2 linked regions of the Arabidopsis thaliana genome follow. The protein of the gene in region 1 interacts with the protein of each later gene in a pairwise test. Each region holds a gene or a part of one and is shown in the gene's direction. Other genes may lie near its edges.

Region 1 (4,243 bases):
AAACTTCACATCATTAGGTTGGAGACTTACCGGTAATCTTACAAAGCAAACTCTTTAATACAGGATGGACGTCCAGGCTCGATCAAGCTTTGGAGTCAGGGAAGTCGGAAGACACAAGTTGCTCTTCCGGGAAGCGTGCTAGAATAGACGAAAGTTACAGAAACAGCCAAACCACCTTACTAGATTTAAACTTGCCAGCGGAAGCCATTGAGCGGAAATGAACACTTATCCTTCTTCACCTCCCAATAACACCCTTTTTGTCCAAATAAAGTGTGTTACCCGGATATTTATAGCTCTAAACCCAATCCCCTCTGCTTAATTTGTCAGTGACCTTACCTAACCCTCTTCAGTTCTGAAAGAAGGGGTCAAGCATCGTTACTTACAAAATTTCAATCAGTTTCGGAGTTTACATAGGATAATGGTTATAGACTTATAGTGGATCATATTTGAAGCTGCCTATGAACTCAGGCTTCTCTCAGTGCCTCGAGGTGTAAATTTTTAACTAAACGTAGGTGGATCGTACCTAATTCATGGATATGAATCTCTTGTACATATGCGTTATATATTTGAGATGGTATGAGGTTTTTGTTGTGACGGTGAGAGAGTGTCCCGCAATCTGAAAAATTGGCTAACCTTAGTTTTTCACTTTTTCTGGTTGTAATTTTTTTATTGAATGCATCCCCTAAAAAATTTTGTTTGGTGAGATACCTATTGAATCTCTCACTAATATAATTTTATTATTTTTGGTTCACTTTTGTGTCTCTCATCAATATAATGTATTTTTAGTGTTATTTAATAATTTTAATGTAATTTAACTTGAATACTTCTTTTAATGTCTTATTTTAAATTAAAATATTTCTAACTAATATTTTTAAACCATCTCAAACTACATTTTAAAAATATTCATTTTCAGACATATTCATTTTAAACATATACATTTCTCATAGAGAGCTCTGAGAAGCAAGTGATCAAGTGGAAGCAACTCCCACATGGGTGGGTTAAGTGTAACTCAGATGGAGTTTGGAATGCAGAATGCAACAAGTGTGGCATTTGCTGGGTGCTTAGAAACTCCGACAAGAACGTGCTTTGGATGGGTGCAAGGGCTATACCAAAGGCTCAATCCGCCTTGGTTACTGAGGCTGAAGCGTTGCGTTGGGCGGTGTTGTCACTCTCTCGACTCAACTACCGAAAGGTAATCTTTGAATCTGATTCCCAACAATTGGTGTCTATTCTTGTTGATAACGATGATATGCCTACTCTGGACCCTATTATACAAGACATCAAGTTCTTGCTTCAGCATTTTGAGGAAACAAAGTTTGTGTTCATGCATCGTGGAGGCAATGGAGTGGCAGATAGGATAGCAAAGGAATCTCTTTCTCTTGAGAATTATGATCCTAAGTTGTATTCTATAGTGCCAAATTGGGTAAAATCGTTTGTGGAATTAGACAAGTTGTAAAACTCTGTTGTTTAATGATAATTATTGTTGTTGAGCCAAAAAAGGAAAAAACATATTCATTTTCAATTACTTTGTTATCTTTTATAAAAGGAAAAAAGATGGCTAACTACACGAAATATAGAGAATTACGCTGTCATATATACCAAGTATAATATTGTATCTTGAGCTACACGAAGTACATGTATTGCATGACCATATTTATGAACTATATGACGTCATCTGGTTAATATTATGAACATACAATTCCGGTAAACCGATCAGTTGACTTCGGCGTTGACAAACAAAAAAATGCTAACCATAGTTCAAAGAAAAAGAATTGTTACAAAAACGATTCTACGATAATTTTTATAATTTATAATAAATAATAAATCTAGACGGTAAAAAATAATAACTTAAAATTTACGTTTTTTCTGACATAGAAGTCTATATTTTAGTACACAGATTCTTTTATTTTATTTATGTAGAATGATATGTCAGATTTGTCATCTTTGTTAGAGTCCAAAATTGGCCTCTTCCAAATTTCTTATGGTTCTTTTTCATTTTTTCCCCAAATTTAAATAAATTCAATAAAAATTTGTTGATTTTTTGTGGCCGTTGATTAAAACCGGGAAAGCAGCAGAAACAAATCTGAAAATCTGAGTTAAGCCAACCACAAAACAAATCCACTCCAAACACTCCAAATTACTTGTCTCTCTTCTCTTCCCCACCACCACTACCTTACAAAAACCCTAACCCTAATTTCTCCACCCCCAAATTCTTTTCCTCAATCTCTGCGATGGAAGACGAAGAAGGCATCGGGTTAATTTTAGCCAGAGCCACCGAGCTCAGACTCAAGATCAGCGATTGTATCGATAACTCCAGTACCACCGTCAGCGACAACGGCGATGGAAACGAGGATCTTTCTCCCGGAGAAGGAAGAAAAAGCGAGATTATTGGGAATCAAGACAAGGATTTTGACTCAATCAGCTCTGAGGATGTAGATGAAGCAGAAGCTGAACGGCTTTTGCGTATTCGTGATGCTCTTGAAGCTCTTGAGTCTCAGCTTGCTTCTTTACAGGTTTGAACCAAACCCTAAAAATTTCCTCTGCTTCTCATCAAGTTTCTGGCTTTTAGTGTAGTATTGGACATTGAAAGTGTTAGGTTCTGGTTTTAACTGAAATTGAGTCTGAATTTGCTTCAAGTCTGGTCTATAATGTCTGAATTGCTTCTTTACAGGTTTGAACCAAACCCTAAAAAATTCCTCTGCTTCTCATCAAGTTTCTGGCTTTTAGTGTAGTATTGAACATTGAAAGTGTTAGGTTCTGGTTTTAACTGAAACTGAGTCTGAATTTTGCTTCAAGTCTGGTCTATAATGTCTGAATTGCTTCAAGTCTTGGTGGTGGTTAATGTGGGGATGGTTTTTGGTTTGTGGTGAACAGAATCTAAGGCAAAGACAACAATATGAGAAGCAACTGGCTCTCTCTGAGATTGATTACAGTAGGAAAATGTTGCTTGAGAAGCTTAAGGAGTACAAAGGGAAAGATTTTGAAGTGTTACGTGAGACTACGACTTTTGCTGGTGAAAGAGTTGATTATGAGAATGATCTTTTACTTCCTCCTTATCCTGTCCATCCTCCTCTCTCCCTTGGTTTAGATAATAATAATGGTTACCTATCTCACTTACCTTCGAAGAAGAAATCGGATGCGAATGGGTTCGGCTCAGGACATGTGAGGAACGAGGCAGAGGCGAAAAGTCCCAACGGAGGATCTGGAGGTTCGAGTCATGGGGTTATTCGCTTCTTAGGCTCTGTCGCAAAGATCGTGCTTCCAATCATCGGTGTTATCTCTCTATTGTCTGCATCAGGATATGGTCCAGAGATGAGGAAAAGAGGCGCTTCCTTGAACCTTTTTGGACTTCTCCCGCACCGAGCTACCAGAGGGAAGAGAACACCTAACCAATGTCCACCAGGGAAAGTTCTTGTGATTGAAGATGGAGAAGCACGGTGCCTTGTTAAGGAAAGAGTCGAAATACCATTTGACTCTGTTGTAGCGAAACGCGATGTAACTTACGGATACGGTTGAGTTTGAAAGAAATTAAACACCCTCCTCTGTAATGTTCATTGCCTGACATTCAGTGTGTAAAGTTTCAACCTTTTCTTACCTCTTAGATATGAAAGCCACATGGTGCTACATAACTCTCACAAGTTTTGTTCATAGTTGTGCAAATAAATTGGATGAGGGAGAGATTCATTTGAGTAGTATAATCTCTGTTCTGCCAATTTGATCAATAGATTCAGTGTATCCCAACTTATACCACTTGGTGTGGTTGGCCAATACATAAATAAGTAAATTAATGAGATAAAGAGATCTAAAAGACTTTTCTTTAGTGTTTTGACTAATAATTGGTCAAGCCTACCATTACAAACTATGTTCCATTACCAGTACAGAGCACATGGTTTCACTTTTTAACCAAGCAACTTTATCTTAAACTTGCTTATCAAGAACTGTCTCTTCGGTAACACAAAAGGGTCTTTTATCAAAACCTATATATAGGATACTTTTCATAATTGGAGTAAGATCTACAAAACAGAGAGTTGTATACTTTAAATCATTTAGAGGTTGTGAAATATTATGGAGAGTGAAGGAAAGATTGTGTTCACAGAAGAGCAAGAGGCTCTTGTAGTGAAGTCTTGGAGTGTCATGAAGAAAAACTCAGCTGAATTAGGTCTCAAACTCTTCATCAAGTAAGTAATGATCCCATTGATCTCTCTCTATTTTCTTTTTATGTATATAGTCTGAGATATGAACT
Region 2 (7,702 bases), on another chromosome or scaffold:
CCCGTGGAAATCTCTTGCGGGTATTACATTCTGTTATATACATGTCATTATGTTCTTGACTATGGACTTGGAATTTTCTCGTCTGGGTTTTCTTGAATGCGTGTGTCTTTGTTTTTTCCAGCCATGTAAAGGCATATTGCTTTTTGGTCCTCCGGGTACGGGTAAAACGCTGCTTGCCAAGGCGCTTGCAACAGAAGCTGGGGCAAACTTCATTAGCATAACTGGCTCAACGCTTACCTCAAAGGTACATGGAACCTTAAAACTATGTTGTTTGCACTGTCACGTTGATATTCCACTTTGTAAACATCTTCATATAAATAAGGAGAATATCTAATGACATAAGAAAAACTTTTCCACCCCGGTCATCGACTTATTATTGTCAATGCCGATTGTAACTTAGAGTAAATCTCTTTCCAACTTTACCTCTGATTGGTTCTGATTTAAGTCAATTTCGTCCATTGTTTGGCACAGTGGTTTGGAGATGCAGAGAAGCTCACGAAGGCTTTGTTCTCTTTTGCAAGCAAACTAGCCCCCGTCATTATATTTGTTGATGAGGTGAGAAATTGTTTAGCTTTATATCACTTTTCAATTTCGGTTATTGCTTTTTATGAGGAATACTTTTGTGATGCGTAAAATGTGTTACTCAAGGACTAACTGTAATTTATTTTGTTGTCGTATAGGTTGACAGTTTGTTGGGTGCTCGTGGTGGTGCTTTTGAGCACGAGGCAACACGAAGAATGAGAAATGAGTTTATGGCAGCTTGGGATGGACTCAGATCAAAAGATAGCCAAAGGATTCTCATTCTCGGTGCCACCAACCGACCTTTTGATCTTGATGACGCTGTCATTCGTAGGCTACCAAGACGGTAATTTAAGCTTTCAAGTAATTTCTCCTTTGGAATATTTGTATCTTTTCGATAATTGTATTGAGGCTTGTGTTTATAGGATATATGTGGATTTACCAGATGCGGAAAACCGGTTGAAGATATTGAAGATATTTCTGACACCAGAAAATCTTGAAACTGGTTTCGAGTTTGATAAACTTGCAAAGGAAACCGAAGGATATTCAGGAAGCGATCTAAAGGTTTGGTCATTCGGGGTTTCATTTACAAGTTCGAGTATGATTCAACACAGTAGTTCTGATTCCTTTTCTTTTCTTACATTGCAGAATCTATGCATAGCAGCTGCATACAGACCTGTTCAAGAATTGTTACAAGAAGAAAACAAGGTAAGGACATGCATAAACCCACACAGTTGATTTCTGTTGTTACGAAAAATAATTTTTGTACTCACTCCATGCTTTTGAAACGTCGAATTATCAGGACTCGGTAACAAATGCGTCCCCTGATCTACGACCACTGAGTTTGGACGACTTCATTCAATCCAAAGCTAAGGTATTGATCAATCTCTTAAAAAACATCATCATCATCTCTATTCATGTTTTTTCCCCTGGTGTTTGCATTATCGAAATTGCGTCATTGTAATGTAATTTGCAGGTAAGTCCGTCAGTGGCATACGACGCGACGACAATGAACGAATTGAGAAAATGGAACGAGCAATACGGTGAAGGAGGGACCCGAACTAAGTCTCCTTTCGGCTTCTAAGCCACAGTTTTGTTACATTCATCAATGTCTCTCTTTAACAATAGAACTCGTTGATTTGTTCCATGTCGTAACAATAAAAGTCACTATTTCAATTTTAATCATAGTTACACAAGAGAGACCTTTAAGAAATGAAAAAATAGTAAATTAACAAGTCGTCATTTGCTCAAAATATTTCTGGTTTCTCATCCAATAATCACAATTCTGTACTACATAGTTATCACAAATCCTTTGAGATAATATTTCTGCATATACTATTGGTCAAGACAAAGCAAATCCTTTGTATTTGCCGACCAAAAAAAAAAAATCCTTAAACTCTCTCCTTACGCGCTCTTTTATTTAAATTTAGCGGAGAACTATTACAACGTTGACTCAACGCGCCATGGATGCGCGTGAGATTAAAACACAAAAAATATTTCTTTTGACAAAAATTGAAATTAGCCGTATCTGCTAATTCCATGGCGGAAAAAGGAACGGCGACGAAAACTAAAGAGTAGAAGAAATAAGAGACACTCTCTTACTCTTACTCTTCCTCTTGCTCATTTTCGTAAGAGACGATGGCGGAAGTATCAGCAAAATCGGTGACGGTTGAGGAAATGGCGGAAGAGGACGACGCTGCGATTGAGGAGCGGTGGAGTCTTTACGAAGCTTACAACGAGTTACACGCTTTGGCGCAGGAATTGGAGACGCCGTTCGAAGCACCGGCGGTTCTTGTGGTGGGACAGCAGACCGACGGTAAAAGTGCGCTTGTGGAAGCTCTTATGGGGTTTCAATTTAACCATGTCGGCGGCGGAACCAAGACTCGTCGGCCGATTACTCTCCATATGAAGTACGATCCTCAGTGTCAATTCCCGCTTTGTCATCTCGGATCTGATGATGATCCTTCCGTTTCTCTTCCCAAATCTCTCTCACAAATTCAGGTGTTTTGTTATTATTATTACTTGTGCTTCTTCAATTGCTTGTTTCTGCGTATAAATTCTGGGAAGATTTTGACGAATGTTGAGAAACACAAGTACTTAGGTTTATTGTAGAGAAGCGAAATGCTCATGTTAACGAAATTTGTTATATGATTTGGAGTTAGGCATATATTGAGGCTGAGAACATGAGGCTGGAGCAAGAGCCATGTAGCCCATTCTCTGCAAAGGAGATTATTGTGAAAGTCCAGTATAAGTATTGTCCAAACCTTACCATCATTGATACACCTGGACTTATTGCTCCTGCACCAGGACTGAAAAACCGAGCTCTTCAGGTTGTTTTTTCTTATGGCTTCCAGCCAATTCCGTGGCTGATTTCATGTTTTGGTTTTGCTTTATTTGAGAGTGGGTTACTTGTTCTTTTTCTTAGGTTCAAGCACGGGCTGTGGAAGCTCTAGTCCGAGCAAAGATGCAACACAAAGAGTTCATCATTTTATGCCTCGAAGATAGCAGTGACTGGAGCATTGCAACCACTCGAAGGATAGTGATGCAAGTACGTTGCTTGACGTAACTCCATTGCGTCTAACCTTGTCTTTATTTTTGTTAAAGTTTGTTTCTCGTTCATGTAGGTTGATCCTGAGCTTTCTAGGACAATTGTTGTTTCTACAAAGCTTGACACTAAAATCCCTCAATTCTCATGTTCATCTGACGTGGAAGTCTTTCTCTCACCTCCTGCAAGCGCACTTGACAGCTCCTTATTGGGCGATTCTCCTTTTTTCACGTCTGTGCCTTCTGGAAGAGTTGGCTATGGACAGGATTCAGTGTATAAGTCTAATGACGAGTTCAAACAGGTCTCTGCTCTGCTGTCTGATTCCTTAAACAAGTTAAACAGGTCTTTTTCTAAACTATGTGTGGTTTTTATTACAGGCTGTGTCACTTAGAGAAATGGAAGACATTGCATCTTTAGAGAAGAAGTTGGGCCGTTTACTGACAAAACAGGAAAAGAGTAGGATTGGCATCAGTAAACTGAGGTTGTTTCTGGAAGAACTACTCTGGAAAAGGTATAACTGTTGTTTTAACTCTGATTTTTCCAGCCTCTGTTTCTATTGTAGTTTACTTTTCGCTGTAGTCTTGATGCCCTTCTCTTTCCAGGTACAAAGAGAGTGTTCCATTGATCATTCCACTGTTAGGAAAGGAGTACCGCAGTACAGTCAGAAAGCTGGATACCGTGAGCAAGGAACTTAGGTCGCAATTTGTTTTGTCTGAAAATGTCTACTTGATTTTAGGCAGTTTAATTGTTAGCTACTGATTTATAGAAAATATAACTCATTGGAGGTTGAATAATTCCTTTCAATGCAGCTCTTTGGATGAAGCAAAACTCAAAGAGAGAGGCAGGACTTTCCATGATCTCTTCTTAACCAAGGTAACTGTAGAGAGCATTTCGTTTTTTTAGATTTCTATTTACACCTTCCCATACCTTTTCATTTTTGCCTGGACTCGTGGATTAATAGTTTTTGTATAATTACAACAAGTTCATTTGTGTAAACTTCTCTTTTTTTTTGGTTTATTAACTACTGACACATAAAAACAAATTTGTTTATTGATTACTGACACATATAAAATTATGCTACAGTAAATGATATCTAGGACTTGCTACAAATTCAGAATGGCTGTAAACTTTTTGTGTTGGATGCCCTTAAGACTTTAAAATTGCTGCGTCATATTTTCTGATTGACGTACGAAGTACCTTTGTTAGTATTGATCAGTGCTGTGTTTTCTCACCTGTTTTGTTTATATTTTTCTTGATCAGTTATCGCTGTTATTGAAGGGAACAGTTGTGGCCCCTCCAGATAAATTTGGTAATGTTACTGCTCTGTTCTCTGCTAGTCAACTTCTTTGGCATAAACTTTTCTTGTTTCTGGGTGTTGTTAAATTGGACTTTTGCAAAATCAGTTTAGTTAAATGCATATTGTTCAATTCGACTGGGTCACCAGACTGCGATGATTACACATGGAATGATGTATGCTAATCAATCAATCATTGGTCATGATACTTTGGTTACTGGCAGAAGCACATTTTATAACAGCATTCTCTTTATGTTGGGTTCTTTGATTGTTAATAATTTCTCATGGTGTTTTTCAGGTGAGACACTGCAAGATGAAAGGACACAAGGAGGAGCATTTGTTGGTACTGATGGTCTCCAGTTTTCACATAAGCTAATACCGGTAAGTCTTTCCCTGAAGCAGAATATTGTTGGACTTTATAGAGCAAGCTGGGCATGGTCTTCAAATCCAGTTGTCTTGTTCTTGTACATGGATTATAATATGATGGAAGATAAATTTGACCGCATGAAACATATGTGCCAAAGAATAATGTATTGGAAACAAATAAAAGAGATACTTCGTTGGACCTTCAAGAATTATGAGAGACCATAACCAGATTATCTTTCATTTTACAGAATGCAGGGATGCGTCTCTATGGGGGTGCACAATATCACCGTGCCATGGCTGAGTTTCGTTTTCTAGTTGGTGCTATCAAATGTCCCCCAATAACGAGGGAGGAAATTGTAAATGCATGTGGAGTTGAGGATATTCATGATGGAACAAACTATTCCAGGTATCATAGGATTGACTGACATGCAACACACTTCTCAATTTATTGTCTTTGCATCCCAGACCCCTTTCAGTATCTAATCTGAGCTGCAACGTTTGTCATGTTTTCTATGGCCTCTTATTCTCTTTCTCTTATTTGCTGTTGTAGAACAGCTTGTGTTATAGCAGTTGCGAAGGCTCGTGAGACGTTTGAACCTTTCCTTCATCAGGTGACATAGATATAGCTACTTTTTTCTTTTTCTTTCGTGGAGGATGGAAAGCAATTTTACTAATTAGTTAAGGTGTACTGTACGTAAAAAAAAAAATGAAATATAACGTTATATATTGAAATCATACTACCATTCAGTTTTGAGATTTGCTGGAACTTATTTGTGCATAAGAGTTATCGAGTAAACATGTTCTGCTTACAGAAACTATGTTTGGGAATACTTTCATCTGAAATTTTGTTATTCACATGTTTCTCTTTCCATACAGAAAGTTTTTTCCAGTTCTCATTTTCGTTTGTTTTGCGTTGATATAGTTAGGGGCGAGGCTTCTACACATTCTCAAGAGATTGCTTCCAATTTCTGTATATCTTCTTCAGGTAGGTACTGTTTTCTTTGGTTTGACGGTATCATACTCATGATCCCTTTCCAGCAAATTTTTTGATGTATGTTCTAAATTTGAATAGAAAGAAGGTGAATATTTAAGTGGGCATGAGGTGTTTCTCAAGCGGGTTGCTTCAGCATTCAACAGTTTTGTGGAGTCCACAGAAAAATCATGTCGTGACAAGTAATTCTATTTCCAATTCCTGTTCTTACCATGTCGGTGCCTCCTACCTGTGTTCTAGTGAGCTTTAGTGATTGATCACCCTTTGGATTTTATATTGTTTGCAGATGTATGGAGGATTTAGCAAGTACAACTCGCTATGTTACATGGTCTCTTCACAACAAGGTCATTGCTACAGCCCTATAGCTCTGTTTCAATCCAATTGAGTTGTGTACATACCATCAAGTATCCGTTTCTGATTGAGTAGTTTTCGTTTCTCAATGTTATGTAGAACCGAGCTGGTCTACGTCAATTCTTGGACTCATTTGGTGGAACAGAGCATAATACGACATCAGGTAATGCCATAGGATTTAGTCTTCCCCAAGATGCATTAGGTGGCACAACAGACACCAAGTCAAGATCAGATGTAAAGCTAAGCCATCTCGCCTCAAACATCGATTCAGGTTCCAGTATTCAGACAACAGAAATGCGGTTGGCTGATCTTCTAGATAGCACACTTTGGAACCGCAAGCTTGCTCCTTCCTCTGAGAGAATTGTGTACGCATTGGTCCAACAGATATTCCAGGGCATACGAGAGTACTTTCTCGCCTCTGCTGAGTTAAAGGTTTGCTCCTACTTCAGTTTTTACTCAGATTCTTCTTGCTTTTAAAATGACTTTTCTTTTAAAAAGTTTGTATCTGTGTTTTCTTTTGTTCTGCAGTTCAACTGTTTTCTTCTAATGCCCATCGTTGATAAGTTACCTGCTCTTCTCCGGGAAGAGTTGGAAAACGCATTTGAAGACGACCTCGATAGTATCTTCGACATCACGAATCTCCGGCAATCACTTGATCAAAAGAAACGGAGCACAGAGATCGAGCTCAGAAGGGTAAACCAAACTGACTTCTATGATCAATGTCTCTTTTTTCTATTTGCCATTGGAAGTATGCAGGAGAACTAACATTATGTTATGTGTCATGTTTTGGACAGATAAAGAGGATAAAAGAGAAATTCAGAGTGATGAATGAGAAGCTAAACTCTCATGAATTTGCTCAAAATCTAAAGGCTCCTTCGGTGCAGCATTGAGTGACTCAAGTTCAATATTGCTTAATTATATTAGGTTAAGAAACAATCGAAGAGTGAGGGAACATCTTATGTGTACTTTGTATGTCCAAAAACATACTAAAGAACGTTGTCGTTTCAAGTGATTAAGGTTTCGCTTTTTGGTCCAATGTTTGCAAATTTCAGTTTTGTAGAAACGACAGTCGTATCATTTATTTCTAAATAAATTATAATCAGTAAATCTAAAAGGAAAAAAAAATGTCGAATAAAAAATACCATCTAGAAAATTATTTTAAAAACTATATGGATGTGAAAAAGAAAAAAAAAATGTAACATGTGGATAGAGGATAGCTATTCTTGGAACTTAGAAATATGCTATTTGAATCGAAAGTATTTATTTAGTTAAATGGTTCTTTGATTATATTTCTATGTTCTTTTATTAGATTATTTACAGCTTGAAGTTTTTTTTATGTTTTTAATTTTTATCCATCACTAATACACATATGACCTACCCTCCTACCCATTAACCTCCACCTAACTACGAGCGCATTCACATTTTAAACACTCTCTTTCTTTCAACCATTTCCTCAAAAATATAATAAAGAAGTAAAAAATAAGCTTAACGTTTTCTCCACGTGACAAGAACCAAATGTTTCTCCACGTGATGATTATCTCGTGATCTAACTAGAGTTTCCGATTAATCTTAATAGTAAATTAACCGACCAATTTTTAGTCATATAACTTGAATATTAAGAAGGAAACTACAACTT

The links.
Region 2: the proteins of PDV2 (region 1) and ARC5 interact in a protein complementation assay, tested with the Arabidopsis thaliana proteins (one study listed by BioGRID).

Annotation. Positions count from the first base shown.
Region 1 is NC_003071.7:6,983,345-6,987,587, reverse strand, and holds PDV2 (plastid division2), read left to right. Parts: upstream 1-1,967; 5' UTR 1,968-2,231; coding exon 2,232-2,513; exon of another isoform or gene 2,514-2,596; intron 2,597-2,671; exon of another isoform or gene 2,672-2,841; coding exon of another isoform or gene 2,842-2,874; coding exon 2,875-3,516; 3' UTR 3,517-3,742; downstream 3,743-4,243. Other genes in the region: ARI2 (RING/U-box superfamily protein), read left to right, coding at 64-221; HB1 (hemoglobin 1), read left to right, coding at 4,066-4,178. UniProt on the Arabidopsis thaliana protein: Component of the plastid division machinery consisting in a binary fission accomplished by the simultaneous constriction of the FtsZ ring on the stromal side of the inner envelope membrane, and the ARC5/DRP5B ring on the cytosolic side of the outer envelope membrane.
Region 2 is NC_003074.8:6,849,845-6,857,546, reverse strand, and holds ARC5 (P-loop containing nucleoside triphosphate hydrolases superfamily protein), read left to right. Parts: upstream 1-1,956; 5' UTR 1,957-2,157; coding exon 2,158-2,520; intron 2,521-2,681; coding exon 2,682-2,849; intron 2,850-2,944; coding exon 2,945-3,067; intron 3,068-3,143; coding exon 3,144-3,365; intron 3,366-3,441; coding exon 3,442-3,575; intron 3,576-3,666; coding exon 3,667-3,759; coding exon of another isoform or gene 3,760-3,774; intron 3,775-3,873; coding exon 3,874-3,937; intron 3,938-4,324; coding exon 4,325-4,373; coding exon of another isoform or gene 4,374-4,466; intron 4,467-4,656; coding exon 4,657-4,739; intron 4,740-4,972; coding exon 4,973-5,130; intron 5,131-5,274; coding exon 5,275-5,335; intron 5,336-5,646; coding exon 5,647-5,709; intron 5,710-5,796; coding exon 5,797-5,897; intron 5,898-6,001; coding exon 6,002-6,059; intron 6,060-6,165; coding exon 6,166-6,498; intron 6,499-6,594; coding exon 6,595-6,759; intron 6,760-6,860; coding exon 6,861-6,956; 3' UTR 6,957-7,189; downstream 7,190-7,702. Other genes in the region: AT3G19740 (P-loop containing nucleoside triphosphate hydrolases superfamily protein), read left to right, coding at 1-20, 122-244, 472-555, 681-865, 945-1,083, 1,168-1,227, 1,322-1,393, 1,496-1,603. UniProt on the Arabidopsis thaliana protein: Mechanochemical GTPase component of both plastid and peroxisome division machinery. Required for the last steps of plastid division specifically in mesophyll-cell, when the narrow isthmus breaks, facilitating the separation of the daughter plastids.